4 linked regions of the Drosophila melanogaster genome follow. The protein of the gene in region 1 interacts with the protein of each later gene in a pairwise test. Each region holds a gene or a part of one and is shown in the gene's direction. Other genes may lie near its edges. The genes, in order: jbug, Rcd7, CG30393 and CG8230.

Region 1 (8,578 bases):
CTTGTGTTTGGTTTTGAGTCTGTTTTTCTTTTTTTTCGCTTTGCGTGCCGAGCGTTGTTCTAATTTTAAGCTGTTGCTGCTTAAATTAGAGGGGATATATATGTATATATATGTATCCATACAATTTCATGCGGAATTTGTGCTAAACACGTGAACGGGCCTCGAGGCGTGTGAATCGGAAGAAAAACCAACAAAACAGACTTGGCCGCCAGCATAAACACCAAAAGTCGCAGTTATAAGATATTCAGATTCAGATATCTGGCCGCCTAGCCCATTGCATAATAGGCGAATGCGAGGGGAAGCGAAAACAAAAACAAAACTTTAACTAAAGCCAAAACCGAAAGCGAATCTGAATCTGAGCCCGAGTCTGGGCTCGCGTCTGAATCTGAATCTGGTTTTTCCGCTGGCGCTGTTCGATTGGTTTTAAGTGCTGGCTAAAAGGCATTTTCAATTGTAATTGCTGCGGCTTTTAGGCGAATAAACGAGGCAGAGTAATGAGCAAAAATTAAAAAACAAAAGAACACACACACACAATCATTCATACGAACCAAGAAGGTTTGGCTTGGCTGCGCTTTGGCGACGCCTAACGGCATTAATCAAAAGACTGAAGACACAAACTTGGCAGTGCCTCAAAAAGAGCAGGGAACACATATGTACATATGTATGTCTGTGCGTATGTGTGAGCACATCGTTTGGAGTGTTTTCTATTTATGACGAACCGCCATAAAAATGATGCCAAAAATAAGCGCTTACTCGCTATAGAAGCGTGCGCTAATAGGCCATCATTTAACTGTAAGGCGTGGCAAGTGTTACAATCGCATTTGGCCAACAGGAAGTCGAATATGTAATACCAACAGACAAAACAAACAGCCCACCCCTAGTCTAAAAAGGAAATAGCACTGAATCTACTTATAATAATCTTGGAAAGGATGCCAATGTAGTATTAAACTTTTAAATCGTATTATATTCTTTTGGCAGGGAATCCAAGCAACAATTGGCTTGTGTCCAACTGAGTAGTAAAGTTAAGTCTGCCTGTTACTATTATAATAGAAATCGAATATTGAAAAAAAAAAGGGTTTAAGAAACCTAATTGATGAAATAACTCAATCATCATTTATTTTTCGAGGTTCATCTCTAGAACAGCCTTTCGTAGTAAATTCCGTAACCATCCATCAACATAATTATGGGCTTCACCTCCACTCCAGTTAATCTCATATATTTCAAAGTTAATGACGTTGTCATAGAACATCTAACCAAATATATTCCCACAGCTCGGATCCAAACAGAGTTGTAGCTAGGCAGCCACTACAGAATCATTGAGAAATCAATGGCCATTTGGTACACGGTTTTGGCACAAATCAAACTTGAAATCGCACCCACGTCTAGAACGAGGCGTTGAACCAACCAACCATGTGGGTGGCTGTCCCGATGACGACGACTACGAGATTTGGCTGGCCGTGTGGGTTTGCAAGGCAAAAAGCGAAATAAGTATATACGAATGTATATTCGGACAGCAAACAAATCGAAAAGTGTAAAAAATGCCAGACACCTACGTGCACATCGCATTCTGTGATATAGATACACCGATTTGTAGCCTACGATACGTACACTTTTGCCCATTCAAAGTCGAAAATTTCGGCCATTACGTAATGCCCTAAACTAGGTGTGCTAGCTGGCCCTCTTCTGCCATTTAAAGTCACGACAACACTTTCGATATTTACCTGCTGACCAACTGAGTAAACTAAGAAGCGGATTGGTCATTCCCATTACCATTACCATTCCCATTCCCCTTGGCCAATAGCACCACCAATACCATTATCATGACCATTCCCATGACCTTGCCGCCAGCTGAATCTATAGAACTCGCCGAGTAGTGGGGCTCATTCCACTCCGCTGGCGAGTGCAACTAATTAGGTTCATTGCCAATGTCAAGTGTCAGTAAATGACATCAGCCACGGGATCACTCATAAGTCCGAGGAGCAATTCATTAATTTCCACTTTTTGCTGTCCCCGCTGGTTAATTTATTTCATCCAAGCCACGCAGTTTTGTCACTGAGACAAAAACACAACAATGACATCTCTGCTTAAAATAAATTAAGGTACAAATTAGTTTGCGGCAAAGCGGTGTATTTAAGTAGTTAATTGATGTTTTAAGAGGAATTCCATTGAAGAGTTACTAGATTAGCTACGTCAACTGTCTTTTGTAATATTAGTCAGCATGATTTTCTCGCACTGTATTCTCCTGTCGGGGCGTTAAAAAAGTGCTCAAGCCACAACTCATCGCTGTGCCGAGCAAGTGATGAGTGATGTCATCCCAGAGTTGTTTACCTCTCCGAAAAGTGTTTGTCAATAAATAGTATTCGTATTCGTATTCAAAATCTGCATACCAGCCTCGCTCAGAACTGGACGTGCTATGATATATGCGATCTGTGGCAATTGACTTGTTTAGAAACGCAACCGGATTTCCTATAATTAAGTTGGTTAGACGGTCATTTGACGCCTCGTTGTCTTCGCAACGCCGTGTGGAAAAATGCCAAAAAGGCCATTCAGACGGCCAACTTTCGGTTTGCACAAATTGTTTGGGTAAAAGTGCGACAAGTGAAAACGGGCGAACAATTGACAATTGATCGTGGCAGATTTCATTGCTGTGATTACGTCCATTATCTTCTGGGGTGGCTCCCACGTTTACACACATGTTGGCCTTCTAACGTTTGTGAAAGACTTGCCCAAACAGCCACATTCACGACAACCACTGGCATCCACAGTACTGCCCACCAGATCTGCTCGCTTTTTGCCTGCTGTTGCCGCGGCGAAATTCCAAACTAAGTGATTTCTGTTATTTTACAGACTCTTTTTTTTTGTATTATTTTCGCCTTTTTGTTATTTTTGTATTCAATTTTCCTTTTCGCTCGCTTCGTTTTGGCTTGGAAGCGACGAAACCAGTTTTGCTTTATAGCCAGATTCAGAGATATTCGCACACACACATTCGCTGGCGAAACCCCCCGCATTTTTTTTTATAAATTCTCCTGCTGCTCTCTGGAGCTTTGAGCTTTGGCCATGACGTCATCGTTTGTTTTGGCCAGGCCAAGAGAGCAGAGCCGCCCAGATCGACCAGCTAAGCGCAGTTCCAGTTCGCTTCGGGCCGCGAGCGCGTGCAAACGAAACTAAAACTGATACTGAAACCGAAACTGAATAGCATAGCTACAACTTACAGCGATCAGAAGTATCTCATCGCGATCTATCCATTTCTCCCGATCAGTGTTTCGAACGCGAGTTACATCTGTACATACATATGTGCGAGTCGCAGGTGAAGTGCAGTGACGTGCAGTGAAGATGGACGTCAAGGACATAAAAGGCGCCAAGGTGACGCATGCGGGGCTGCTCAAGCACAACTCCGATGGAACCACCGAAACGCAGAAGATCACCCATGCCGGTCTGGTGGCCCGGAGTCCCGAGGGCACCGCCGCCAAGGGTATGAACATACGGGGCAACGAGGACCTCTGGGTAGAGATCCAGGCGAACACATTCCGCAACTGGGTCAACGAGCATTTGCGTGAAACGGGAATGCAGGTGAGTTAAGCCATAGATATATTGTAGATATATTTACATTCCGATTATGCAACACTTTCTAACCGACTGAGTAATGCCTGCCGCCGACTGAATATCTGATCGATCAAGCGCAAAAAACAATTACCCAATCAATGGGCTAGCTCCGTTGAATGTGGAATTCGTAGAACTATTGATGAAGCAGGGCCTGAGAATCGATGAGTGAAATACAAAACGTTTAGATCTGGAATTTTAGCCAGGAAATGATTTGCGAAGGCAGTTGCACATAGAAAAAGTGGCACTGCTTAATGAAGTGTAATTAGGGATAGAAAACAAAATATGAATATGTGAAATAATGAACACTTTTTAATTGAACTCTATACAAATAAAATTTTCGATTATTATAAATCGCAATTAAGAAGCACTTTAAAAGCAAGGTTTTTGAAGTTCATATACTGATCCCATTTAAGCTAAATATAATCGCATAACGAGCGCATTGACTGGTGACAGAACACGTAAAAGTATAAATCGCCATCATAAACTGGGGCTTCGAGCTCTTCCGCGAGTTTCCCTAAAAGGCCGGGCTCATAAAACTCGGCTCAATCGCCCACGCAGATCTTGAACTCCAATGGCAGCAACGACAATTACATTAACAATGATGCCAAGAGTACTCACACGGACTTATGTGTACTGCCAACAATGCATTTCATTTGTCCAGGGACTTTTGAACTGTCACTCGCTTCGACGGATTTTCTCACACGCACCGCACTGAAACGACCTGAACCGACCATATTTGGCCGGTTGAATGCCAAGGCCAACGCATCGAGTTCCCATTAGCAGTTACAATACACAAAACAAGCTAAAGCTTTTGTGCGCGATCTTGCCCGGTTTCGAGTATAAAATTCGGGGTTTTATTTTTTTTTTTTTACTTTTTCGGTTGGGCCAAAAACGTACATACATACGTGTATGTGTACATATGTGATGAGCAAGGCTGAAGACCCCTTAGTAAACAGCGCTAATTGTGACCTGGCTGGCGTCTATTTGGGTCACCAAACCAAAACGAGTCATCCAAGTTTGCGTTTTTTACGCTGTTTACAATTCTAGTTCATGCGTATGCGACAAATAATATTGCAATCCACTTTGTATGACAAATGCATGTGCAAACAAAAGGGAAATGCTTTGATGGGAGCAGATACACGGAGAGAAATATTCAAAGTGACTGCATTGTATGACCTTAACGTTTTAATGCAGTGCAACAACAGTTGCGGCAGGTAGAATTAAATTATCTCAAAATGATTGCCACCATGGAACTGTCGTAATAGAATGACTAGACATTTTCTGACATATAGCAAAAATTTATATGCAAATAAAAGTACATATATATTTTGTTAGGTGAAAACGCAACTCCCAACGAAACTCGAGTTCATATCGTAAAATCAGAGGAATCTTAAAAATTTAAGGGCGGAATAACAGCAGCGACAAATAACAACCTGCGGCAGCTTGTTAGAGAGCCATGGAGCAACTACATATGTGCGATGTGAGATTTTTATGGCATCCAATGAATATTTTCCTAGGCACAAACAAACAGCAACAGACACGCGATTGTCTCCGTACCCAGTTCTCCAGTTTTTTGTCGTATTTTATTTGTTGAGTTGAGTTGAGTGGAGTGGAGTGGAGTTCCCCCCAGTCGAATCGAATGCCGACAGCAGCCAGATAAAAAGCTTTATGTCAAATGCTTAAAATCGCGCACAATTGGTTGCACCCGGGCGGAGAAAGCCGCTCAGTTCGGAGCAGCGAACCTGTTGGGTTCCCAAGCCCATTCTTGAGCTCCATGTGCCATGTTCCGAGATCTGAGCTCCATGCTCCAAGTTCCGAGCAAGCGGTTTACCTTGCAAAGTGGGCCACCAGTTTGCGGAAGGGGCGTTGATTGCTCATTAGGAAGGCTGCCAGTCAAGCGACCTTCTTGCATTTGCGCAGACATGGTAGGCGTTTCGCACATTTGCTAATCTCCATTGGGAACTATGTACATATGTACTACAGCAAGTCTAGTAATCTCAACTAATGCATAGCTATAAAGAAAATGCTGCTAGAGTCATTAAATAAAGATAAAAAATCTCTTCTTTCGAACATTTTTTTGTTTTGGGTTAGCATGCTTTTTAAAATTAAATCTATATAGAATGGAAAAGTAAAAACTACCCACTTAATAAAAGTACATTTTGCAAATCCATTAGACCGTAAAAAGCTAATATCATATTAAATGCAATTATAATAATAAACCTATTATGGAATGCACTCCCATCTCTTACTTGCCACATTACTTGCGTTGCTAAACGGAATGTATTCCAGCAGTAATCTAATTATTTGCCACAAACTTTCCCATTACTATTTCTAATGATACGGAGAAGTTAATGCAAATTCCCATTGTCTCTCAGGTTCATGACTGGGCCACCGATTTCTGCGATGGCACTTGTCTGTGCGCCCTTGTGGAGAATCTGCAGACGCGTCCACTGAAACCCTCGTGGAATCGCCGACCCGCCAACCAGCATCATTATTTGGAGAACGCCACCACGGCGCTGAAGTCCATCGAGGCGGATCACATCAAGCTGGTGAACATCGGCAACGTGGACATTGTGAATGGGAACATAAAGCTGATCCTGGGCTTGATCTGGTCCCTTATCGTGCGCTACCAGATCGGAAGGAGCAAGTTCCCGCCGCGCAAACTGATGCTGGCCTGGCTGCAGGCCGCTCTGCCGGACTGCAGGATCACCAATCTGACCACCGATTGGAATAGTGGCGTCAATTTGGCGGCGCTCCTGGACTACTGCCAGCCGGGCTTGTTCCCGCACTGGCGAAGTCTCGATCCCAGCCAGAGTGTGCGCAACTGCACCCAGGCCATGGACTTGGCTCAGCGCGAGTTTGGAGTGCCCAAGGTTCTGGAACCGGAGTACCTCGCCTCGCCCTGGTTGGATGAGCTGTCCGGCATGACGTACCTCTCGTACTTCATGAAGCCCGGTGGTCCTGGTTACAATGCCACCATGCGATGGGTGAATACGCAGGTCAAGGACCCTGTGAAGAACTTTACGGTATGTTAATATCCATAATCACATATCAGTTATAAAGCAGCCTTCTTTTTTAATAAATCCTTATGGCTCTACAATAAAACACGCTTTTTCACCGCATTTAAATATGACCTTTTAATCCGTTGAACAAATGTTAATGTACATCTGCAACAATTGCATTAAAAAGAACATAAATACTTATTAATTCTCGTATTTTTCCAACCAATAATAATCGTATCCCATAATGGCACTTTCATTTCGCAGACCGACTGGAACGATGGACGCGTTATGTGCGAAATTATTAAGGGACTGGGTGGCTCGGCGCCCGCACCGGAAAAGCTCAGCACCGATCCCTTCCACTACGAGAACAACATTCGGAAGGCGGTGGACGCGGGCGCCCGGCTGGGCGTGCAGCCCATCCTGACGGCCAAGGACATGGCCAACCCGGAAGTGGAGCACCTGGGCATCATGGCCTACGCGGCCCACCTGCAGTGGGTGCCGCCGAGGCCTCCGCTGTCCGACCTGGTCAGCGTCTACCTGGAGAGCACATCCGGTCGGGTGGGCGAACCGGTGAGTGAAGCATATATATACAATATATATATGAATGTACAGATGGTGGCAAAATAATAGGGCACTCATGACTAGAAAAAAATATATATTATTACTTAACACAAATCCGATCAGTGGTGTTTACTTACAATATAACTGGAAAGATAGCTCCCAATTTTTAAATTAAACAAATATTTTTACTAGTCAGCTCAATTATTTTACCCATCACTGTGGGTGTGTATATGAACACTGCAGTCTGCCAGGTGCAGAGCGTAAATTTTTAATGTCCGATTCACACGCAGACCCACTTCCGCATCGACGTAATGTCCCGGGACATAAGCCTCAGCTCAGTACGCTGCCACGTGGTTCCTCCGTCCGGACAGCCGGGACAGCCCGTGCGGCTCAATGCCCACGGCGAAGGAGTCTTTGTGCCGGAGCGCTATGGGATGCATGAGATTGTGGTGGAGATCGGCGAGGACAGTCTGGGCGGACACTTCTTCCGAGCCCTGCCGCGCTTGCTGCAGGTGGCTCCGCCGGGAATGGCGCCCTGTGCCTTGGGCAGTCTCGTCGAGGTGCTGGTCAATGCCACCGGTGCGCCCAAGACGGAGGACATCCTGGTCACGGCGGTCTCGCCCACGGGCATCTCGCACAACTGCCCGCTGAAGAAGATCGACGAGGGACACAGTGCCATATTCAAGCCGGACGAGGCAGGTATCTGGGAGATAGCCATCACCTACCAGGGTCGCCACATCCAGGGAGGCCCCTTCACCTGTGCCGTGTTTGATGCATCCGGAGTTTCGGTCCATGGGTTAGATGGAGCTATGCCGCTGCGGGCTCACACCTTTGAAGTGGATGCCCGTGGAGTGGGTGTTTCGGGCGAGCTGCACGTGGACATTGTGCACGACAAGCATTCGTTGGTCTGCTCGGTGGAGAAGATCGTGGAGAACAAGTACCGGGTGACTTTTATGCCCAGGCAGAATGGAAAGTATCGGGTGTACATCTACTTCAATGGCTACGATGTCAAAGGTTCGCCCTTCATGTGAGTACATCCACTGGTCTTAGAGATTCAATATTTAATTGTGATTATGTTGAATTCCAGCATGCGTGTGGGCACCAAAGGAAGATCTGGCAAAACGCGCAGCAGTCCGCTCCACGACAGCAAACACCGATCGGAGAGTCCCTCGATGCACTTTGTCTCCACCACGAACACGCGGCACAATGATTACCGAAACTCCTCGCTTTCGAGGCACAACACGGCCGAGAGGACCAACAGCTATTCACCGCAGTACTCTCCCAAATTGGACACCACTGACTACCACAGTTCGAGTTCCAGGTACTATAAGCGGGAGAGCGAGGTAAGTTGAAGTCAGGGGAGCAGGCATGCGGCATGGGATATTCCTCTTCCTCATCACCCGAACCCATCA
Region 2 (7,969 bases), on another chromosome or scaffold:
CTCCTTCGCAGATCCCTTCGGGACATCCTTTTCTCCCAATTTATCCTGTGAATTGTAACTATCTTTAAGCTCCTCCTGGGCGCAGGGATCTTTATCTATAACCAATTCCTCCAGTAAACTATGACTTTTATTCAATTCATTCGGGTTGTACGAGCATTCTTCCAAGTTTTCTGGTGAACTTTTATCATTGTTTAAATGCTCCTGTTGGCAAGAATCTTCTTCCATTTTCTCCTCGAAATCTAAAACGTCTTGAATTCGGCTCCTTCTGTTTGACATCCGCGTTGGTTTTTTTAATTCGATTTTTTTAGGTTCATACATCCCAAGTATTTCTTTCTTCCTCTTCGTAAAACTTGATTTTCTGTTCCTAGTATCTATCTTCGATTTACTCTGGGAGAGCGGAGCTTTTATAGTTTTTTTGGCTATTAACTTCCTTACAGAAATGTTCCTTCCCTTTCTCATCGAAACTCGCTCTTTTTTGGTTATATTACCTTGTACTTTTTCCTCCTGATCTTGCGTCTCCTCCTCGGATTCCAAATGAAGTGGTGGCTGCACTTCGTTTACCAGTTTAGAAATCCTTTTGGCATCCTGTGCGGACAGCATGTTGATAGGTCTTAAGTCTTTGGCCACATGACGATTACAATATGGGCACTGACCCATTACTTTTATTCTTGTAGCCATAATATAAAAAGTTCTTGATTATCCACTGACAGCATTAAATATATTGTAAAATTGTATTGTGTTGTACAGTGTTGTTGTGAGTACTGATATCGTTTGAGAACTGTTTTAGTAAAACAAACTTGTTATTTGCTATGGATTACCCTTCCACGACATACTTTGTTTCAAACTTTTAATTTTTCTTTAATTTTAATGCACTATTTAGTTTTTACAATTAAATAATTTCAATCCCTGCACTATATATATATTCAAGAACATTAAAACATTGTAAGATTTATTAATATTGCTGATTTACAATTTGTGAGACCTGAAACTATTTCCTATATCGAATGGTTTGGTTGTGCCTTTTGCTCAATACGTGTTGCTAAAATTGTTAATGATATATACACACATCTAGAAGACGTTGCGGCAAATGGGACAGGTGGACTTGCTGCTTGTGGTAAACCATTTATACTAAAAAAAATGTAATCATTTCGTTAGATCGGAGAAAAAAAAAGCAGCTTGGAGGAGTCTTACCAAACAAGGTCCGTGGAATTTCTTCTTGCACGTTTTACACGTTAGTTTGGGTAGCTGGCAAGTCTCCTGGTGGATAACAGTATAGCACACGTAGCACTCTTCAACGCCCTCGAATTTTTTGTCTAAGTTGTTTTTCCACATAGTTAGGCCGTCATATATGGTGCCATTCTGCATAAGACAATTTTAATATTATTATTCAGCGGACATCGAGTAACATACGAAATGTATCAATATCAATATACCTGGTGTGTCAGGAAGATGGTCAACTGCATGCCGACATTTCGGGAGGAAGCACGTCCGCCGATCTGCTTGCCGCACTCGACCTTAACAGCTCCCAGTGGATAATTGGGAGCCAGCGTTATTACAAGTTCCATGCGTGCCTCATCGATGGCGTAGACCGCTAGCACTTCGCGGGTGGAGGAATGAACGGTAACCTAGAATAGAGAAATGTCAACTTTAGTCACATAGTTCAGTAGACTATGATTGTTTGGGATTTACAAAATATCCAAAGTTTTTTTATTCAACGGAAATTTAAATATATAGCGAAAGCACACTTATATCCCTTCTAGCAGAGATATGGTGCCTCTTGAGATATTTCGCGTTATTGTCATTATCATACTGCTGATTAGCATCACCGTGGTTTTTTCCCTTCGGCTAAGCACCCCAGAGCAAGAATAAAGACTTGAAAGGACACATCCGCTTACCTGCATATTCTCGTGCTTCTCCTTGCGATTGGCGATCGCTTTGAGCTCCTCGCTGCAAATCAAAGAACTCACGTAGTTTGTGGTCAGGTTGTCTATGAAGTTCTTCTGCCTGGACTGAGTGGCGTTCCACCACCTGCGCACCACGGCAGGCAGCTTGCGGAGCACCTCCGTGTACAAGTGGCAGGCATATCGCTCCAGGGGTAGATGTCGATCTGCAAAATGGATCAAGAAATGTAACAAGGCAAGCCAGGCTGCGAGTAGTCAAATTATGTTTATATAGAAAACAGTTCACTTTAAATCATTAGTCTCCTACCGTTCTGTGTATTGATCCGCTTCTTATTTTTTTTTTTTTGTATTTCCGTTCTATTTGAAAGCATGGAAAACCCAATAAACTTCAAGGATATACCCTCCGAGATGCCGCAGCCAAAGCGCATTCAACTTGAGGGCGAGACTTCGGTGGCCGAAGCCATAAACTTCCTGAAGACGCAATGCGATACGCGCAAGGAGCACAAGCCTGAGGAGTTTCAGCAGGATGGACCAACCGTAGCGGACGAGTTAAACGCTCGCCTGGCCATGGTTCATGTGCGCGAGACTCGTGCCAAACGCATTCGCCGCTTAGTTAAGTTTTCCCCCAATGAGACGCAAGCATTGTACAGGTAAGTAAGTATCAAGTTTTTCCATATCCAATACATGCATATTTTCGGAATTGCTTTGGCTTTTGGAATGTTTTTTCATAAATTAAATCAGACTTTTAACTTTCCTTTTTTACTATAAACAATAAACGATTCGATTAAAACCAATACAATATATACATTGGCCTGAAGGTTCATCTGTGTCTGTCCCCGCTACCATCCTTGCTATGTGCCCTGCCAACACACGGGACAAATAATCATCGACCGGGACGTGTTGTCCCGCGAGGAACACATATGTTTTCTAGCTACACCCAAGAAGGACTTCTCCTCACCCCAGTTGGCCAAACAGGCGCGCTACTACACCAAAAAGATCTACGTTAACCAATGTACAGCACGGGTTGAACGACTTGCCGATCCTCACCCAATGCGAGTGAGTGACACATACAATTTCTTTAAGGACTACCTCTCGCCTCGTCATATAGCGGCTCTAGAGAACCAGATGAAACCCAAACCTCCGGTAGAAGCCATGTCAATGGAGAAGGCGCTGGAATACATGGAGGAGGAGATGCGTCAGCGCAAGGCAGCGAAGCGTGTCCAAAAGCGACGATGCAAGGGTCTAAAAAAACGAATCATTTTGCGCCAGCGCAAGCAGATGCAAAAGATAATTTGCGTACTGTTCGAGGAAATGAAGGACTTTCTACTCAACGATCAGTTTATTGTTGACGAGAACTCCCCTCTATGTTGCGTAATTCTTGAGAGACTTCGAGAATTTACAGGTAAGTTGAATCTAACTGGGACACTTCAAAAATTAACTAATTGAAATCATCAAAAGATCAAGAATTCTATACGACAAGTAATTTGCAAGAGTATCAGAGGATATTGGCCAACAACCTAACCGTTTGGGTCAACAAGTTCATATCAAACTTAAACATTTACTTGACACCTCAGCAAATACCTGTAAAACGACAGATGATGGCAGAGAACGATCCCGAACAGTTTGTGCCCTTGTCAGATTTCATTTCTGTATCCGATGAGGCGGATGCAGAGGAAATGATGAACGATGTCGAGCACGGAGCCGCTGAATATGACGACTATGGATATGGGGAGGACTACTTGCCCGACGTTCTCAATACGGATATATCGGAGGAAACAATAATCTAAGTAATGTTCAGCTTACCCTTCTGCTGAGACCAGGTCAGCTCTTTGTAAACGCCGTTGCTGTGGACCTTGGCACCGTGGTTCTTAAGTATGTCCACGGGCATTGCGCGGAAAAGGAAGTGAAGGAAATTCTGTGGAGCAAAGAAATTGAAAGTGTAAATTTAAAATTATTAGTAAATTTAATGTATCGTTTCCAACCTCTTCGTATTTGTTATCATTCAGCCAATTGGTGTAAACAGCGCGCAATGCAACTGGAGACTTAGCGCAAGCATTGATAATACAATCCCATAAGAAAAGGTAACTCAGTGCATTGTGTCTGTCTATGGGTTCGAGATCATCCAGCTCTGATAGCTTGAACGTGAACTCTTCCAGGTATTTAGTTATCAGTGCATCGTAGCGTGTTAGATAGTCCTCAAAGCGATTGAGGAAGTGCCACTTGCAAATCGTTGTGCTGGCGTCTAGACTCTCACTTTGTTTCTCATTCAGCTCTATGTCGTCCGCCACAAAGTGTGGCGTTAATTGGCGAAGCGAGTGTACAGCACTTAATCGAACTGAGTGCTGGACACTATAAAGCTGCTTGAACAGGAAATTGCAGAGGTGGTCCAAGGTGATGTTACTATTTGACTTGCAGAACTGAAGTGTAAAAAGGTTTTTGAAGTTATTAGCCATAGAAAAACAACAAAATATTTCACTTGATTACCGAGTACACAAAGCTGTAGTCCAGTCGCTCTATGACCGGTGTTATTTGTTCTAGTAAGGCCTCATAGCATGCCTGAAATCCTGGATCCACACTAACCTCGTGGGTCAATAGGTAATATGACTTAAAGAGCACTAAATTGACTTCCTTGGCAAACAAAGAGTCCCATTCGTCGATCATGTTTTTGAGTAATTCCGTGGAACTCTTTTGCTTCTCGGAGCGTATAAAATCAATAAGGGCGGCAAACAATTCGTAAACAGCCACAATAAAAAGCGAAGTCTTCAATTAAAGATAATTTATTATTAATTATGAAAGAAATTTATTTATAAAGCCTACCTTTGGGTCTTGGTATTGTGCTATAGATTTTGAAACAGAAAGCACCCAAGAACTAAGGCCAATGCGAATAGCGTCCCAGTTCTTTATACTCAATTCGTATGGAAAACGTTTTAAAACTTCAGTTAAAAGCTTTATGAACTCCACTGTATTTATAACTGATTCGTAGGGTTGCCTTTGAATTTCTCTGAAAAATACAAACTTGGGTTTTGAATCATATACATTTTATGAAAATTATATTGTCTTACACATTATAATGGAGTAAATCCTTCTGGCTGGCTTGCCTTTCCCCTATGCTGGTCATAAACTGTACGGCTGATACAATTATATTGCGATCCGTTTGCTCATTCACATCGCCTTCAAAATTGTTTAATAGTAGAGCATGAAACACTGCTGCCTTAACCCAAATTTCAGGCGGTTCTGTTCCCATAATCGCAGAACTAAGAGTGATCGCTTTTTGAGAAAGCTTCGGTAAGAGAAACTGTAAGACACAAGGCATTATTAAGTGTTCCTGGATTTCTTTTAGAATTCCTACCTGTAGAGCTATTACATAGGTCTTGAGCGCTCCCTGCGTCACTAGATTTTCTGACAGATCTTCATGTAGCAAAATGGAGGCACTCTCTTCGAAAGCCGCATACTGTGGGCAAAATCTAAGGTAACTTAAAAGACGACAGTCAATTACGCTGGACTGCTGCACAGCCGCTTGCTGAAGACGCTCCTTTACTATTGCAACCAGATCGCTGCTGTTGCCCATAAAGCTTTGCACTTTCTCCGAAAGGATCAACACTAACTCCTCTGTCGACGATTGCAAGACTGACATTTCCAGCCAGCATTCTGCTGTTCCAGCCACTCGAATGCACTGTAAAAGCTCTGCAATTAAGGGTTCGTTCCATTTTTTGAGCACATCAGCATTTGGATCACAATAGTCCTCGGTCAACTCATCCTCTGGGTCGTTGGTGTCTTGAGGTGGTGGGAATTGATAGACGAGCTTGTAGATTGTAGAAAAGTTGAGTGTGGAACGTTGAAGCAATGGTAGTATTTCATTTCTTGAGAGGCAAGCATTTTCGAACGGAACTCCCGCAGTCACAGATCCGTGCAAGGCTTCTAGGAGTACACAATGGTTCTCAAACTGTTGAACCTTGTCAGTCGTTTTTAGGGGCGTTTCCAGAAGAGCAGTTAATGTTTCATCGATTCGCTCCAAGCGCTTATACTCATCTTCAATATTTTCCGTTGAGCAAATAACAAACTTGGCCATCGCCTCTGCCATTCCATCCAAAGTATCCGCTTTAAGTTCTGCTGAATTTGCCAATTCCTCAACAATCCCTGCGCAACACTTTAGCATGTCATCATCGATTTCGATATCTTTGCTAGAAAGTCCATCCTGCCAGCAAGTGGTAATTTCCCACAGAGTATCCTCCGACAGATAATCCTCTGGTCGGTGCTCCAAACTAAATTTGAACAGTTTGAGGAAGATGTGTTGGCGCACGTGCAGCGAAGAGTTATTGTTGCTGCAAATCACAGGCATTATCTGGGCAATAAAACTGCCACACACTTCCACCGCGTCATCGACAACCGGTTGCTCCAAGGGTCCGCACATGGACAGCAGTATTTTATCCACAGTTTTAGCATTAATGAGTATGTCTCCCGTGTCAGTTTGGAAAAAACACTTGTGAAGCAAGTTCAGCTTCTCCCGATCATTGTCTACAACAACCTCCTCAGCTATCCGCGCAATCATTTCACAAGTTTCCGGACCACTTAGCATTTGCCTCACGGCGGCCTCGGCGCATAGGGGATATGATAGTAGACGATGCAGCAAAAGATTTTGCACGCCATGTTGTGGAAGCTGTAAAGAATAATAATAATTTAATATTTTTTTTATACACTTTAAAATTGGTAACTACCTTCATGAGAGTGTTTTCAATATATTCAAAGCGTTTTCCAGTCTCTAGCAGCGGCAGGATTTCAAACACGATCTCCACCACAGATTCACAGGCCTGACAACTTAGTTGACCTAGCAGTGACACAAATTTATTTAACGCCGACGCAAGGTCTCCATCATCAGTTAAACTTTTGTAGAACGCGGCATCGTTAAACATTTTTGTAAGCGTTCGAATTTGTTCGATGTAACGCGAGCTCGAAGTACCACTCCCACTGCCTTTGTTGGCCTTATCCAGGCATATGCGCACTAACTTTATAACCAACTGCTTCAATTCCTTTTGTATAAAAGCAGCAGCTTCTTGAGCCTTTTTAACTGGTGTTGTGGGTTCGCTCTTCTCGATCTTTTCGTTTGGCCCCTCGACAAACTTCACACTCGGCGACTCCAGGCTAGGATTAGCCATATGCAGATCCTGCACTAAAAGCAAGACATGTCCGAGCAGTTGCTCATTCACCTCCTCGGCCGATAGGTCTTGTGTGACCAGCTCAAAGATGCGTATCCAGAACTTGTTCAGCAATTTGGCATAAAGGTCACCATTATCCAATCTATTATTAATCTGACGATCCCAGAAGGCCACCAGGGCTGAACTGTGCTGGAAGAAAATTTTTACATGCGTGCTATCGCTTTTGAGCAGCCAGGCAATGGGTTCAAGTACGTTGTTATCGAGTAGGCTAAAGGAAAATTCCTCCTCCTTCTGCTCTCGCTGTTTGTTGTTGTTAATCTGCTGCATCAAGAAGCGTAGGCACTCAAAATATGCATTATGTATCACAATACAATCGGATTTGGAAAGCGGAGGATCGAATTTCTTAGTGACTGCCAGCTTCATGTCGTCAAAGAAGCGCTGATAGAAATCGTAGATATCCAGGTCTTGAAGGGATGCTTGTGTAACTTTCGACAAAAATGGCAGCAGATTGGGACAGATGGCCTGGGCGTTGCGATTGAAACCATTTTGGAGCAAAGACGAAAGTTTGGGGAGAAGTGTCTTGCGAATGTTCAGTGGAACGAACCTACAAATATTAAACTTTATTATTGGAATTCACTTATAGTAGATCCTAGGTCTTACCAATCTACGTAGTTACTTTGTAGGAGCAGAACGCACCCCCAAATGTGGGGAGCCACCACGGGATCTGCATCGTCAATAAACTGAAAGCAGAGGTTAGTCAGCTGCGTCTTCTGAGGCGTGATCACATCCAAAAGTGCAACCGATTGCAGGATGTGATATATGCACTCGAACCAGGCGGCTCTATAAAATGTGAAACAGAAATTAAATACATGGTAAATGACTTGTCTGTTTACTTACTTAATGGCAGGCACTTTA
Region 3 (7,227 bases), 1.5 Mb from region 1:
ATTTAATTCACCGCAATTGTAGATGCTCATCTCCGGGCGTAATTTACTCACCGTGCGTCTGTGGCCTCCGCTGCGATAGCTTGCGGCGCTGCGGAGGCGTCTCCGTCTCGCTCAGCCGGGGCTCACTGGTGCAGTAGCTCCGGGTCTCCTGGAGCGTGTGCTGCTGTTGCTGCTGCTGCTGCTGCGCCTTGGTCTTCTGGCGGACCTGCAAGTGGAAAGGAGGAGGAGGCGTGTCTTTAGAGCGGGCAACTATGTATAGCTATGTATAGCTATCTATCAAACGCGGCCCAAGGCAATCGCTGTGATTTATGGACTGCCCTTGCCGATTGACTGAGAAATTAAATTGCATTTCTCACACAAATCAAATTGCATTTGTTTGTCCTTTGGCGTAACAGACGCCCCAGACGCCCATCTCACTTGGCCACCGTCAATGGCATAATTTATCGGCTTGTCCTGGCCCTGGTCCTCGCTAGAAGGGCTCCTGCGCGATCCTCTTTGAGGGGAACTAGAGTAGGGATATCCACCTAAATGTCAAGGTTAAACGCCTCGGCCACTCCAAATGCAATCAGCGCCAATGCTTGTTTCGCCCGCCGCAAAAGTTTCCTGCTCAGGCATTGGCGGGTAGGTTGGAGCAGGAGGACGTGTCCCTGTTCCAAATCCTTCATGCCACGTCCAAGTGCCTGTCAAGCCGCCTCAGCTCTGCGGTGCTCCATTGGAAGCCTGGCTGGCTGCCTGCCTGACTGCTAGCTGACGACGGGGCGAAAACTAATTTCACCACTGTTCCGGCAATGTAAGCTTCTTGTTCAGTTTCTTTGGTCCAGTGTGAGGGCGATATATATTTATAGCTGTGGCCATAGCCGCATGCAAAACGTCCAACTTTGTTAGCCACTTCCGTTTTCCTTGGCCCAAAAATCCAAAAAAAAAAAAACAAAAAAAAACAGGGGCGAGGGCGAACAATATGATTTGGGTGTTGGGGACCAATTAGTTGGCAGTTCGAAGTTATTAAGTTGTGCCGCTTATGTCCTTGATTCTAATTAATGGGTTTGGTTTTGCGGGGAGTATGTTATATATACGTATAGGTATTCAACTTATGGCTTTAAGCCTTTGATACGATTTCTTAATTAAATTTAAAATTATGTTTAAAATTAGGCCTTCTACATGGAACATCTTTAAAATAAATGAAACCAGTTTGCTTTAAAAAAATCTACTATATGTTTGATTGAGTTATGACCGTAAAGGTTTTTGGCCTGAATTTGTTGCTGATCGGGAACCTTAATCCCCTGAAAGCCACGCTGATTCCGCCACTGTTCCCGCACAAGGTTTTCTCATCGCTGGAAAACGGCACGCCGGAAGCGCTTGCTACGTGGCGTCGGCTGTCAAGTGGCCAGGGATTTGGGCCACGTTGAGTTTCTGGTCAGTTGGAGGGACCGGCAAAGCCGCCAAATCCGCAGGAAGTGTGGCCAAGGGGGCGGGGCGGCGGTCATTAGGCGAGCTGTCAGTGTAAACGTTCCTTGTTTATTTAGTGGCCGCTCTTTTGCGCTTTTTATGGCGCACACACACACACATACGAGTTTAGACATATAACTACGAACCGGACTGTATACGTATGTACGCATTTATCCTGGCATTTCATGGGCTCTCGTGACCAGTAATTGCTCTTCTTTTTTCGACAAATGTTTGCATGGTCTACTTTGCCGGCTTAATCAAATATTACGACCATACGGACGGACACCCACATCTGATCCATCCGGATGCAGTGGTCAGATGGTCGATGCTTCTCGCTTCAGAAATTAATTGCTTCCTGGCTTCCCAGTTCATTGACCATGCCATGGTGCTCCGCGGCATGTCCTGCGGCGGAGTCTTCAATTTGTACCCGCTTAATCCCCAATTAGTCCTCTGGGGCAGCGCACATAATTTATTTTCTTAATGCGCCCCGTTTTACGGGCGTCGGGGGATTAAATTAAAATTCGAAATTAATTTCACATTTCCCAGACACATACTATTTGACTTTTAAATTGATAAGACATATGAGTTATTCGTAAGGTTGGCGTCTTTAAATTTAGTGATATCTTACCAAATATATCAATATTTTTCATTTATTTAGTTTTGTAAAATGTACATACATCCTATATTTTTCTTGCAAATTTATTGTGTCACTGCTTAAAGTTTTGATTGCACACAAGGCTGCAATTTCCTTGCCTCCGATGAACTTTTGTGTCGAAAGTCGCAAAATATTTCCCCATTCATGGCTGTCTTATTTATTTGGTTTGGCTATTTGTTGGTTTTTGTCTAGTATTTGCATGGGATATATCTGACTTTGGGCCACAGAATGCCGTGCAAAACGAAAATAGCATTACAATGCGACTTCATCGTGTTGGCTGCTGTTGTGGCATCTTCTCATTAAACTTTTGCGTCTGCAGATGAAAAGTGCTAGCGACTTATCGACATTGGAACATCAAGGCACTGAGCACTTCAAGTTTACTTCCTTGCTGCTTGCCGATTGTATCCTTACTCCCCGCTTCCTTATAACAAAAGTCGTTAAAGCATTCCTAACTCGTTTTTAATACCCTTTACTAACTTGCTTGGCAAAACCAGTACGTGTTTGTAGTACTTACTATTTTAAGCATATAGTTTTTTAACAAAATTTGAAATCTATTTCGTTTAGAGAGGAGTTATGTATATGTGCAATCATACGCCAAAATGTAGGCAATGATTTTTAGAAACCAGGTATTCAATAGTCGGTAGCACCAAGCACTTACTTCTCACTTGCTTAGCTGCGAACTCATTACGGCCACGCCCAGCCAGAACATGCCGCCCCCAAAAAGCGGGAAACCATATGTGTGTGTGTGCGTGTGTCTTGGAAACTTTTTCTATATAAATTACCAGCTCGGGGCGCATCTCAGGCGATGAGAACGACATTTTTAGCACGTTGCATGGTTGTACGGCTGCTTTTTGTTGCCTCGTTTGCTTACTAATAATGTCGCGAGCAGAAGCAGAAAAGCAGGGGATTCACCAGCGAGGGATATTCAGCACCAGAAGCTGCGAACTGGAAGCTACACCCCCCCCCCCCTCACCAAACCAGCCAGGAAAACTCATACGCAGCGTATGCCGCCACGTGGCGAAAGTCTTTTGTGCGAGACAACCATCACATCAGTCCGATGAAATTGAATTTCGCCACGATATAACTCAATTCACACGCCGCACTGCAAGTGCTCCTCCGAATTCAAGGCTCCTCGGACGGCTGGCTGACGGAATCAATTGAATTGGAAACGTCAGCGACTTCAGTTTTTCTCTGTATTATTTCAGTTGCGGTGATGGTAAATACAAATAAATCCAGCTTCCTAAAATAGGCCTTTCCTTTTCAGTCAAGATTCAGTTGAGATTGTCGAATAAGTCGGACGGGTTCGTCGTTATTAGAGAAGGAGGTATATATATACACACTAGTTAATCATGGAAACAACCGCTCAGCTGCAGCAATTGAAACCCCAACAGAGCGTCATGTCGCACGTCACGGTCACCGAGAGTGATGCCGAGTTTGCGATCTTGAATCTGGATTGCAACGAAGGTTTGGAGAGCTCGGTGACCAAGATTCTGGTGGCCATCGAAGAGATGTTCTGCAGTTACTTTGAGGATCTCAAGAAGGAGCTGGAACTGCAGAAGATGGCGGCACTGACCTTGAATCAGCTGACCCAACGTTACAGGATCAACACGAAGGTGGACACGAGCTGCACGTGTCCGCAGATCTATGAGATCGAATCGGATGATGCGATCATTAACAAATACTACATCTACTACCAGGTGATAGCCTGTTCCAACAATAACCAGGGTTGGGTCATCCACAACATGCGCCCCTATGTTCTCCTCTTTCGTCGAGAGTGCGCCAAGTTGAATCTGAACGAGGATAGTCCCTTCATCATGGGTGACGCTTTCCACAAGCCAATCAAGTTCTTCATCGACTTGGTGGAGGAGCTCTTCGCCTACTTCTACAGTGGACACGTACAGTTCGACTGCGCTGCCCACATGTTGGATCCCTTGGACTTGAACAGCATCGAGTACTATCAGAAGCTATTGGAACCCAATGAGGATTTCGCAAATTACTTCAAGTACAACATGAGCTTCTGCAAGTGCCTGCGTATGCCGCGCCGTTGTCCTGCCCACGAGTATCCGCAGGTGAAAGAGGACTTTAACGCCACCTTTGTCAATCAGGCCAAGAAGAAGCGGTGTGCCAGGCGATGCGAAAAGATGGCCGAGGCCGAGAGCAATTTACTGGATCGAAAGAAGTCCATAGTTAGACTCCAACGTCCCAGTGAGATGTCTGGCATAAGCACCGGTCAGGAATTAGACCAGGACAACGAAAGGGAACTGAAGAGGATCTCTAGACACCAACGTCGCAGTGAGAGGTCTATAATAAGTATTACTAAGGAAGATTACCATACTCCTCTGCCCGACAACCGACACGAGCTAACTGTAAAGGATTCAGTAATCAGATGGTCGGTGAACCCACAAATTCTCTGAAAGTATGATAAGTTTTTAAATTTTGTAAGCAGTTACGTTTATTTTATATGAGGTGTATAGAATTTAATAAATTGCCTACTGATTTCCAGTTTGTTAGGATTCATCATCTGGTATAGGGGTATCCATCATCGTCGACTTAAATGTCATTCATCAGAAGTTGTCCTTGTTTTTGCAGGGAAATACACTAAAACACACACAACCGAAAATGGAAATGCGCGATCGGCTGTACCAAATGATGGTGAGCCAGAGCTTTATGTCGAGAGGCACGGTGACCGCGAGCATGGCCAATTTTGCGATTGGAAATCTTAGAAGTTCCGATGCTGTAGAAAAGAGAGTGATCAAAATTCTGCTGGTGATCGAGGAGAAGTATCGGAGTTACTTTGACAGCTATAGGAAGGAGCTAGAGCTCCAGAGGATAGCGGCAGAAACACTGCACCAGCTAATCCAGCGCTACAAGATCACCATGCAGCTGGACACCAGCTGCACATGTCCGCAGATCTATGATATCGAATCGGATGATGCGATCATCAACAAGTTCTACATCCACTATCAGGTGATAGCCAGTTCAAACAAGAATCAGTGTTGGGCCATCCAAAGCCTGCGTCCGTATGTGCTTGTCTTTCGCCGTGAATGTGCCAAGTTGAATAGGAGCGAGGAGAGCCCCTTCATTCTGGGCGATGCCTTCCACAAGCCCATTCAGTTCTTTATCGACCTGGTGGAGGAGCTGTTCGCCTACTTCTACAGTGGACACCTTCAGCTGGATTGCGCGGCGCGTCTGTTGGATCCCTTGGATCTGTACCGAATGGAGTGCTACATGAAGCTATTGGAGCCCAACGAGGACTTTGCCGAATACTTTCTGCACAACATAAGCTTCTGCAAATGCATGCGGCCGCCACCGATGTGTCCGCCGTACGAACACCATCAGAAGATCAAGGATCAGTCCGACGCATATCTCAGTCATGCCAAGAAGAAGCGATGTGCCAGGCGGTTTGAGAGAATGGCCCAAAACGAGGCACAGACTGCGAAGCGGGAAAGCGGCTCAGTGGAACGGAAAATGTCCATTGGCAGCGCGAGGACGACCAGGAGTCTAAGTCGGGAGGCTTCTGTCGTGGAAGAAGCCGTATCCGTATCCAATCAGCAACATGAACGCACCCTAAGGGATCAGCTGATGTGCGCCCTTAGCATTTCCCCCGAAAAAAGGCACGACGCCACCAACCAATGAGGTCAACTCGGATTGTAATCGATCAATTAATTGGGCCAAGTGCACGTGATTGCGTTCTCCGTTTCTCGGAAATGCCGGCGGAAATGTAGTTATACCCAGTTAACTCAATCCCTTCAATATTTGTGGCACGCAAATGGGAGTTGTTTACCAAGTAAACTTCAAAGTGATTATGCACCTCAATTCGGAGATACTTTCAGCTGAGCACACTCGATTAAAAGTGAGCTTAAGTTTTCACTTCAATCAAGTGAGACACTTCAAAATTTGTTGTCAGACGAACCCATTGAAGTTTTTTCAAGTTGGCTTTAAAATTAAAAATGTGATTCGTGATTGAACATTATAATCTGTAAACTGCAAAGCTAACAAACAAATATAATAAATTCAATTCAGAGTAATATTTTTATTGATGCTCTAAGTGCCATTTCATAAAATCAATCAATTATATTTGCGAATCAAATGGTCCTTTTGGGAATTAAAAAACACATTATAATATTGTTGAAATGTCAATCTGCATGTGCGTGACTACCAAATGGGCTAAAAGACGACGTATTTATAGTAAGCAAACGTGCATTTATCTAAAGCTATAAATAAATAAGCAACTTTTGCCAGAGTGACGGGCAGATGCAAATGCTAATGCTAAAAATCTGTACCGCTTGGATGCGTTCCAAGCGCATTACGTATACGCCCCGCGTACTCACCGATCTGGCGCCGGAGGTGATGCGGGCGCTCTGGGAGCGCGTGGCCGGTCGGCGTCGCCGGTACCCGGGAGTACCGCCCTCGGGCGTGGCACTGCCGGAGGCGCCGGGCATTCCATGGATGACCGTCTCGATGCTGGCGCCGGTGGCACAAATGGAGGCGCTGCGCGTCTTCTTTTGCATCCGATGATGCATCGGTGAGATGTCGTCCACCATGGCGACTTCTCTTGATCTCGTTTGGTCCAACTCCTGGGAAATTTCCGTTTGTGTCCGGTGTGTGGTCTGTGGTCTTCGCCGGCAATTTTCCGTAACGAGTTCGGTCAAGTTGCTCTAGGATTTGCTACTTGTGTGCATTAAGCAGTTCGTGCTGTGGCTCTAGTTGCTCTATTTTGCTGCTGTGGATGCTTGGTTGCATAATTCATAATCTGAGTTTTGGTATGGTGTGTGACTTTAGTTTGTTTTATGGTGCACTCTGCAAATAAACCGTGACAAGCAAATGAAACGAATGCACAAAACATTTAAATGAATTGGTTTTTTTTTTTTTAAATAAAATTACACTTTATCTCGAATATTTGCTTCGGTCGTGACGTGACACAGAAATAACCCAAAGAAATACTGTGTATATATATTTTCGAAAAGCAAAAGTGAGCTACGAAAAGCGAATTTCATCTGCGTTCTACAAAATGCTATGTGTAACAACATGCAACATAATTTGCTGTGTGATTTTTCATTTCGCCCCGCAGCCATTAAACATAAAATTCCTCTGTTTGTTTTTCCAATCCCCCACCCCTCTACCAC
Region 4 (8,677 bases), about 14 Mb from region 1:
CCGATTTGCTCGATTTGGAACTGGAACGGACCATGAAAACAAGCAATCTCGGCCTGTACGCTTTCCGTTTAACCTTCGGTCAGGTGAGCACACGCACATTAAACCAGGCAGCCAAACGGCAGAAACAGCATGCGCATTCTGGGGGAAACCTCTGAGTTTTTCGGCCGGGCAAACCAAGGACCACCACAATCGTCGTTGAGAATGCAGCGACTGCAGCCGGGAGACGAGTGTCTGGAGTGCCAGAGTGAAGGCAGGAATCACAAGCTGCGCTACTTTTACATTAATCTCGAGGAGCAGCTGCTGAAGTGCGAGTCCAGGAGCTGTTTGTGGCCACACAACGATGAGGTCTCCTCTGATGAAGATCTGAACTCGGAGGCAGCACTTCCCATCACTGCTCCACAATCTGAACTTTTTGAATCTCCTGCTGCTACGCTACCTTCTCACCCTGCGGCCTTAACGTCCAAACCTCCTCCAAATGATGACGAATTTATATTGGAACTGCTGCAGCAATTGACTTCTGCCACAGAAACCCCCCTTAAGACAAATGTGAGTTCCAGTTCCATGCCAAATCTGCACTCGCCTTCAGAGGAAAAACCCTGCCCACAACTGGAGCTTCCCGACTTAAGCTTTCTGGAGGAGAACAGTACCGTATGCAAGGAACCCCCACAAGCATTGAAATCAGAGCTGGGAGTACCTTCAACTGTCGTCTTACCCGACAGATTAATAAGTCCGCCCAAGGCAAAAGCAGTACAAACTGAGGACACCAAAGCCAAGGAACATGTGGCTCATCTGAAGGGAGCTACGTCCCAAAGCTGGCAAGGCAAAGCTGAAATACCATTACTACCCGCTTGTGTGAAGGCAAGTGTGAGGATGTCTCCTAGCATCAAATCTAAGGGGTCTCCCTTCAGCAGTCCGCCCAAGAAAGCAACCACCCAGCCGCAAGGTCAGTCACCACCGTCAACGCCGCCTGCCGTCAATATTATTATCAGTGTTCCGGAGTTAAACACGGGAATGAACGGCTTGTTTCTAGACGCCATTAAACGCCATTCCACAGAAGCCAAACCCGCGCTACGTGGCGTAGGGAGACGCCCTAAGCGACTGGCCAAGGGAACCACCAGCAGGGGGGGCATTCGCACACAGGATGTAATGCACTTGATCGAGCATTTGGAAACCACCACAGAAGCGAAACTTACGACACCACGGACGTAATAGGCTGGCATTTAGCTTACTCAAGTATTTGAAATAAATTTGCATATGAAATAATGCATGAAACCTCCGGATAAGAATTCAAGTTCGTTTATTTATAAACAAGTCCGTTACGCTATGTTTTTTTTTTTTTTTGGCAACTCAAATTGTGGATTACTAATTCGCGGCACGCGTCTAGAGCATGTTCAAGTGGACAGGAGAGATAGCGCTGCCGACAAGAGAGCGTGCTATCAGTGGAAGTGAACTTTGGAAAGGAGGTCGTGGCAACTGCGTCACGCGGAGATCTGTTTCAAGCCGCGATTAGCTGTTGAGCTGCAGAGACTGACTGATAATGCAGTTGAACGTCATCTAAGCGCTGTGACAGTGATTGCGATAGTGATGTCAGTCACGATAATATGGCATTACATCGACCCTTTGCAATCAGTTCAATAATCGTGCGACCATGTGGGGTAATCGCATTCGTGTGGACGGCCGGGGCACTTGAACCTAGTTGCCAACTGCCGGCGTAAATTGTTTCTGCTGCGTAGTTGCCTGTGTGGGCGGGGGCCGTCGGGCAGTGGGCCAAGTTTATTGTTTGTTTGGATTGATATATATAAAACGAGCGAAAAACTAAATTTGTCTCCCTATCTTATCTCCCGCAGGCGCCGACGTTGTCCACACAGGCCACGACGCACTGCAGCCATGGCTTCACCACCAGCTCGTCGTCGCCCAACCGTGTGGTGACCCGCTCTGCCACCATGCTGGCGCTCTTCGGCATCGCGCTGTCCTCGTTCAGCCTTAAGCAACTGCTGGCCAAGAAGCAGAAGCACCAGGGCCTGCGCAAGCTCTAGAATGGAGCTATAGCCAGAAAGATTAGAGCGATGCCAACGCCAACGGTTGAAGCGGCGATGAGGAGCCAGAGCGCCATGTCCTGAGGTCACACATTCGATATTTTCATCATCCGCCATCATCGTGTATATTTGCCTAAGTTAAGTCACCCACTCACCACAGACCCAAGCGGAACTCGGACATGGAGGCTTGTTTTGTAATATTCTGTTCGATAAACTAACTGATCGGAGGCGAGGATCTGTGCGCATATATAGATATATTTTCTTGTTTACACATGCACACCATGCGTCGCCAACTAAAAGGAATAAATTTGTGATAAATCGTGTATGAAAAAAGCCCATCGGCAGACAAACTGAACGAAGGAGCGATGGAGGAGAAGATTCGCTGAGCTTGCGGGAATCCCAAATTTTCCTATACTCTTTTGTTGCCCGTTTTAGTAATATTTATTTTATGTGTAAACAAGTCTATTATATACGTATATTTATTTACAAGTTATTTGCAAACCAGAGAAACGACTAAGTAGGGAGGTATAAAACAATAATGACTTCGTTGGACTGCAGATCGCCGAGCAGGCTGTGTCAGTATCCAAGAAACAAACTAGTTCTAGTTCCGTATTCAAATAAATGCATTATATTCAATTCGAAAATATTGATTTTTATTTCTAGTTTCCGTTAAAACATGCATGCTAAAGCACATATGAATATTAAGCCAGCACCTAGAGGTTATGAATAAAACATTTTTAACATTTTCCTATAGTTCCTAGTCTAATATAAAAAATAATTATTTGTTCCTCGGGTTAGTGACTCGTTGATGATTTGCGTGAAAACTAAGTACTTTAAAAGAATCAACAGCATAACATAAACTTTCGGCTGTCAAGGCCTAGATACTCTATACCCTTGAAAAGTTATATTTACGTTAAAATAGCTTATCCACCATCCGTAAGTTCGCTGTAAATCCCCAATCTATTGAATAGTTTCTTTTTTCTTGTTTATGCAAATAAATACTTTAATTCCCAAAAAATAATGTTGTGGTTATTAATAATATTAATATTAATAAGCCAACATATTATCTAAAAATATATAATATATGGTTCGCCTAAAATTCTTTAATTTCTTTATCACTTCTAAAATAATAAAGTGCCAAGGACAGTTTCCGAAGAATTGCTTTAGCAATTGCATTTCATTGTAGAGGCGTTAATGTCTTGAATTACATTTTTAGGACATTTATATGGACAGCACATAAACGTGTTTCAACATCCGAAGGTTCAAAAAATTTAGTTTCAGCTTCAAAAATCCGCATTTGAATTTTGCGCCACATGTGACAAAAGTATTGCGCAGCGGCGGCACCACAGCTGCACGGATTTCCGCAGCGCTGAGCGAGGGTCACACTGGAAGGGTAAGCACCTCACCCCCCCGCTCAATGATCAAGTGACGTGCCACCAATATAACCATTGGCCGGCCAACAGCACTCTTTCGACTGCGGAATGGGCATCAACGTCAGCAGGACGGCCGACCTGGGGTCCAACCAGTGGCTCCAGCGCTTCGTGGGCCGCCAGCACATCGCCCACGATGACGAGGCCTTCTGGAACGGGCTGCTCAACTACAACATTGTGCTGCCGGAGAACAGGTGAGTGGAGTGGAACAGGAGTGGAGCAACAACGTCAGCAGGGCTAATCTCGGGCGGTTTGAAATGGTGTGTGTTTCAGTCAGGACCAGCTCAACCTGGACAGCCGGCTAGAGGCGCTGTGCCAGTCGTTCATCGGCAATAACCTGAAGACGGGCAACTTTGGCTCCCTGGTGACCGTGTTCCTGGAGAAGACCAGCGAGCTGCTGTCGCTGTCGGACCAGGAAAGCAACATGCACGTCTGGCAGACCTTCAACGCGCTCTTCATCATCCGCAGCCTGGTCAAGTACATCAACGAGACGGGCTCTGAGTTCCAGCTGCTGCAGCACTTTGAGGCTATGCCGAATGCAGAGCTGCTGCAAGCGGCATTGGAGCAGCAGCAACAGACGCCGGCGGAGAGCGCCACCATTGCCATGGAGGCCACCGAACAGTCGGCGGCGGCTGCGGTTCCAGTGATTGTGGACGGATCTAAGTTTGAGACCTTCATCGATGCCCTGGTGAACCTAATCGTCGTGATTCCCGTCAAGGAGTTCACCTACCACCTGCACCTAGAGGCCGTTAACATGCTGATCACCCTGCTGTCAGTGCATCTGTTTGCCCAACAGCCCACGGACAAGTCCATCGTGTTCCGGACGGTCTTCAAGTGTCAGCACGCAAACGTGCTGATGTCGGCACTGCTGCATTTTGTGGCGCGTATTGTGGAGGTGCCGCACACCATGTTTGGGTCCAGCTCTGCTGGATCCTTTGTCTTTGGCATCGCGGAGTCGCTGCTTTCCATCTTCACGTTCCGTAAGCAGCCAGACATACTGAAAGCGGGCCAAGCAGCCGGCGGTGGAGAGCTCTCGCAGCGATTCCGTACCCACTACCCACTGGCCAACCAGAGCCTGTTGCTGATCCTGATACTGACTAACCACTGCACGGCACAGGATAACGCCTATCGGACTAGCCTTTTCAGTTGCGCCGATTCAAAGGATTCACCAAAACAGGGAGCTGTCTCCTTCCAGATCGACTTCTCGGCGGTATATGAGACATTGTGTACCATCGTTACCATCGACCAGGCCACGCTGCTGCTCTATCTGCTGCTCCATCGCAACGAGCGCTTCTACCGGTTCGTCATGCAGCAACAGGACTTGGAGCAGTTGGTGATCCCCATCCTCCAGACACTGTACAACGCCCCCGATAGCAACTCACATCACATCTACATGTCCTTGATCGTGCTGCTGATCCTGAGTGAAGACGAGGGCTTCAACAAGAATGTGCACACCATAGTAGGTCATCTGTGCGTGCTAATAGTTGCATTACTAATCCTTTCTCATCCCTGTAGATGCTAAAAAACATCACATGGTATACGGAACGCACCATATCGGAGATATCGCTGGGCGGCATCCTAATCCTTATCGTCATCCGCACCATACAGTACAACATGCTGAAGATGCGCGACAAGTACTTGCACACCAATTGCCTGGCGGCGCTGGCCAACATGTCCGGCCACTTCCGCGCTCTACACCCTTACGTGGCACAGCGACTGGTCTCGCTGTTCGAAACGCTCGCTCGGAAGCATACGCGCCTGGATGCGCAGCTCAAGGAGCCGGCCGATAGCGCAGTGTTTGTGAACGTCTCGACGACCCCGGAAGACATGCTACAAGATCTGAGCGTGCTGGAGGAGGTGTTGCGCATGGTGCTGGAAATCCTAAACTCCTGCCTCACAAACCAGTTGGTCTACTGTCCCAACTTGGTGTACACTCTTTTGTACAAGCGCAGCGTCTTCGAGGGCTTCCGCAGTCACCACGCCTTCCAGGATGTCATCCAAAACATAGACATGGTATGCGCACTAGTTCCGATCCGATTATGCGATGTGTCTCATGCTGTCTTCGTTTTCAGGTTGTCGGTTTCTTCTCCTCGCGTCTGCAGCGTGTCCAGGAGCAGAGAGGCGAGCTTGGGGTCAATGAAGTGCTCGAGGTTATATCTAAAGGTGCCAGTCAGTGGTCCAGCGATCGACTGAGAGTAAGTAATCCGCTCGATGAGTTACTCACTCAAATCGCAGGCTCACTTATTCTTTTTGTGTTTATCCTGCAGAAGTTCCCGGATCTTAAGTTTAAGTACGTCGAGGAGGACGCTCCCGAGGAGTTCTTCATTCCATATGTGTGGACGTTGGTCTGCAAGTACGGCTGCGTGCACTTCAGCTCGGAGAGCATCAAGAGCGTGACCACGGACATAGCCTGCTAATATTTACTGCTCTATCCCTTCCTCTCACGCACACACCCGGCTCCGCTTTGGTTTCCACCATGTTTCGATGCTTCTCCGTTTGTCTTCTGTGCGGGATTACCCGATCTTTAAGCCATATACCACGCCCTACCTTTTGATCCAACCCAAAATGTCGAAATGCAGTATCAAAAACAAAACAAAGCAAGAGAAATGTTGCGCTAAATAAGAGGCATGCGCATCTCGAACGTTGACGACAAGAGGAGACAAAGCAAACGAGAGAACTAACGATAATACATAGACATAGCTACGCTTATACTAATGTGTATGTTAACAAGCAATCCGGTCGGAAATTGTTGTTCAAGTTAAAATATAGCAACCTTGAAACATGATCATATTTTGCCAAGCCGACTGCAATGAGCATGTTTAGAGGGAAGTTAAGCTCCGTACGCCTACAGATCGATGTTCTAATCAATGGGAAGCAGCAAATCCAATAAAAAGTATATATACATATTAAAGAATCGGAATATACAATATATGCAAAATATATTTACATTTTAGTCTATGGTAATTATATATTGTATTGTATTTAGCAATTGAAAACGTCGATAAACTATATATTAACTAAAGTTAACGCTCTTGTGTTTTTTCTTCTGTCTATGGCAGCCTTTAGTGTTATCTGCGGAAAGCCCAAATTTATTTGGGTTGGTTTTTATCAGAACAAGAATGTGATTAGATCTTCTTTGCAATTCGTCATCGGAACGTGGCAGTGTTTTATGAAAAAAGTAGTTGGTCTTTTGAAATGGATTTATCATTAAAAACGAAGTTCACTTCTTGGAAAGAATTCAGTGTTGAGAAGTATTGGTTAGTCATATTACTTCAAGATTCATTGGGTTCGTATTTGGTCAGTTTATTTTAAGCTAAATATCCACATATCCCAATGGGTATTCATTATATTTCGCCAAAGAAATATCGCCAAACGGAAGCTTCAAATGAAGTTTCCTTTATTACGTATACGCCGGGTAAACAATGCTTAAGCACCTCTTCTCCCGTTTATCATTTCCACTACGCATACGGGCTTCGCTGTTTGCACTTCATTGTGCATATTTGCACTATCGGCTGCAACAACAACGATGATGGGCTGGCTGCCTTGTTTATTGTTTATTACTACTGCTACGTTTTTTTCCCACCACCAGCTTCATCGGCTAAATATGTGACTAAAAAGCCGCGGGAAAAACGACGAGATGACTTTTACTGCCTGCTTACATTGGGGTTCGTTGACTTGAACGGCTGGGCGGTAAAGGGGGCTGGACTTGGAGGATGGGGGCTCAATCCGCTGAAGGTTTTGTTGTGGTCTCGTCGCTGTTGCTGCACTCTTGTCAGCTCTGCGTACGTGTCTTAAATAAGCAAGTACACAAATAACAACGCACAGGTTAGTATTGCGATAAAAATTGCATTTGTTTTATCGCCGCCGAAAGGCGGAAAATTTGTTATTGTGAGCTTTTCATGGCGTGCTGCATTTTAATTCACTTTAGCCCACAACAAACGGCGAAAATTTTTCAAATTTCTTTTGGACCCCCCTTCCCCCATTTTGCCATTAGTTTTCCATGCTGGCTAAAAAGGTTTATTGACTTCGGGCCGCGTTTTGTTAGCCATTTGTATTGTGCTGCCAATTTCCCAATTGATAGAATTTGCCAGAAGCTTAGCCGAGTTCGCAACCCTCGGCCTGCCATTGCGAAAAACGAATATCGAAAAGTGGCAAAGAAAACTCGAAAAGAGTTGCGCATGCGCACACTTGATTGGCGCTCTACCCCCTCCCACTCCCCGCTCCAATTGTGGTTTGTTGGGCAAATTTCAGCGCAAATTAGTTAAACCAACTTAATAAGTAATAACAATGATTGGGTTTAACGCGATACAGTTGTTAAAGGTCGGAAATGAGCAACTAGTGCACACTCTTAACTGGAAACATTCTTCAAAATGGCCGCCAATTTAGTAAGCTGCTTTATACAAAAGGCAAAGCTTGAAATGGTATTAGGATTTCATGAATGCGTAAATGCATATAATTGCGCTTTTATCAAAAGTAATACAAAATAATAATATGTATAAGGACTACCTATCTTATAGGTTAAGATAAATGTAAAAGTAACGGCTGTACATGTACTCCATTCATAGCTTAACAGCCTAAAAATAGCTTTCTACTTCAAATTTGTTTGCCATTCCATTGAATTTTAAAAATTTTATTTCCTTATATGACTATTTTATTGCAATAACGTGGTGTTATTATTGACCAATGTTATTTTAATCCAATAACAATGAAAAAGTTTTCAGTTTCTTATATATTTCAACAAAATTATGCTTTTTAATTTATATATGTATATATATATTAAATATGCTGTATTTTAGATACGGCTTAAGGAAACCCCATTCCCATTGTAACTTATTTCTCGGGAACGGCGAATGGGCATAAGCTAACCACCGATGGCTATTACTTTGTTGGACCACTGTCCAGGCCACTGCTCTGCAGGAGGGGATCGACCACTCCAATGGAGCTGGAGCGGCAGCCAGTTCATTTGTCGCCGCTGGGGATGGATGATGTTGCAACGTAGCGGCTGGGCCCGCATTTTCGCTTTTTGTTTTGGCAAGCGGCTTCAGGTCGTTGATCCACCGATTTTCTATTTATACCGACGAATGCAGGCCCGCACAATAATCTTGGAAATTTGCCCAGTCCCAGTTTCAGTTCCAGATCGCAGATTCCAGGTCGAGACTCGAAGTGAGTCCAAGTCGTGAGTTCCAAGCAGGCACGTTGGCCGAATTGGAG

Evidence for each region.
Region 2: the proteins of jbug (region 1) and Rcd7 interact in a two-hybrid assay, tested with the Drosophila melanogaster proteins (one large-scale study listed by BioGRID).
Region 3: the proteins of jbug (region 1) and CG30393 interact in a two-hybrid assay, tested with the Drosophila melanogaster proteins (one large-scale study listed by BioGRID).
Region 4: the proteins of jbug (region 1) and CG8230 interact in a two-hybrid assay, tested with the Drosophila melanogaster proteins (one large-scale study listed by BioGRID).

What each region holds. Positions count from the first base shown.
Region 1 is NT_033778.4:22,731,597-22,740,174, reverse strand, and holds the start of jbug (jitterbug), read left to right. Parts: upstream 1-3,129; 5' UTR 3,130-3,333; coding exon 3,334-3,570; intron 3,571-5,978; coding exon 5,979-6,629; intron 6,630-6,869; coding exon 6,870-7,175; intron 7,176-7,456; coding exon 7,457-8,193; intron 8,194-8,253; coding exon 8,254-8,509; intron 8,510-8,578.
Region 2 is NT_037436.4:19,543,414-19,551,382, forward strand, and holds Rcd7 (reduction in Cnn dots 7), read left to right. Parts: upstream 1-1,696; 5' UTR 1,697-1,767; coding exon of another isoform or gene 1,768-1,869; 5' UTR 1,870-1,895; coding exon of another isoform or gene 1,896-2,107; 5' UTR 2,108-2,136; intron 2,137-2,190; exon of another isoform or gene 2,191-2,269; 5' UTR 2,270-2,270; coding exon 2,271-2,551; intron 2,552-2,719; coding exon 2,720-3,303; intron 3,304-3,359; coding exon 3,360-3,688; 3' UTR 3,689-3,704; coding exon of another isoform or gene 3,705-3,816; 3' UTR 3,817-3,880; downstream 3,881-7,969. Other genes in the region: CG46434 (uncharacterized protein), read right to left, coding at 1-657; Ltn1 (listerin E3 ubiquitin protein ligase 1), read right to left, coding at 1,069-1,128, 1,192-1,359, 1,434-1,625, 1,896-2,107, 3,705-3,816, 3,884-4,318, 4,386-4,661, 4,719-4,902 and 5 more; CG46435 (uncharacterized protein), read left to right, coding at 1,768-1,869.
Region 3 is NT_033778.4:21,263,739-21,270,965, reverse strand, and holds CG30393 (uncharacterized protein), read left to right. Parts: upstream 1-3,386; 5' UTR 3,387-3,450; coding exon 3,451-4,515; 3' UTR 4,516-4,602; downstream 4,603-7,227. Other genes in the region: CG30391 (uncharacterized protein), read left to right, coding at 4,721-5,737; Rgk3 (Rad, Gem/Kir family member 3), read right to left, coding at 52-205, 6,433-6,645.
Region 4 is NT_033778.4:8,942,112-8,950,788, reverse strand, and holds CG8230 (uncharacterized protein), read left to right. Parts: upstream 1-3,444; 5' UTR 3,445-3,517; coding exon 3,518-3,660; intron 3,661-3,739; coding exon 3,740-4,925; intron 4,926-4,981; coding exon 4,982-5,479; intron 5,480-5,538; coding exon 5,539-5,661; intron 5,662-5,733; coding exon 5,734-5,883; 3' UTR 5,884-6,491; downstream 6,492-8,677. Other genes in the region: CG8229 (uncharacterized protein), read left to right, coding at 202-1,209; CG33199 (uncharacterized protein), read left to right, coding at 33-83, 1,848-2,036.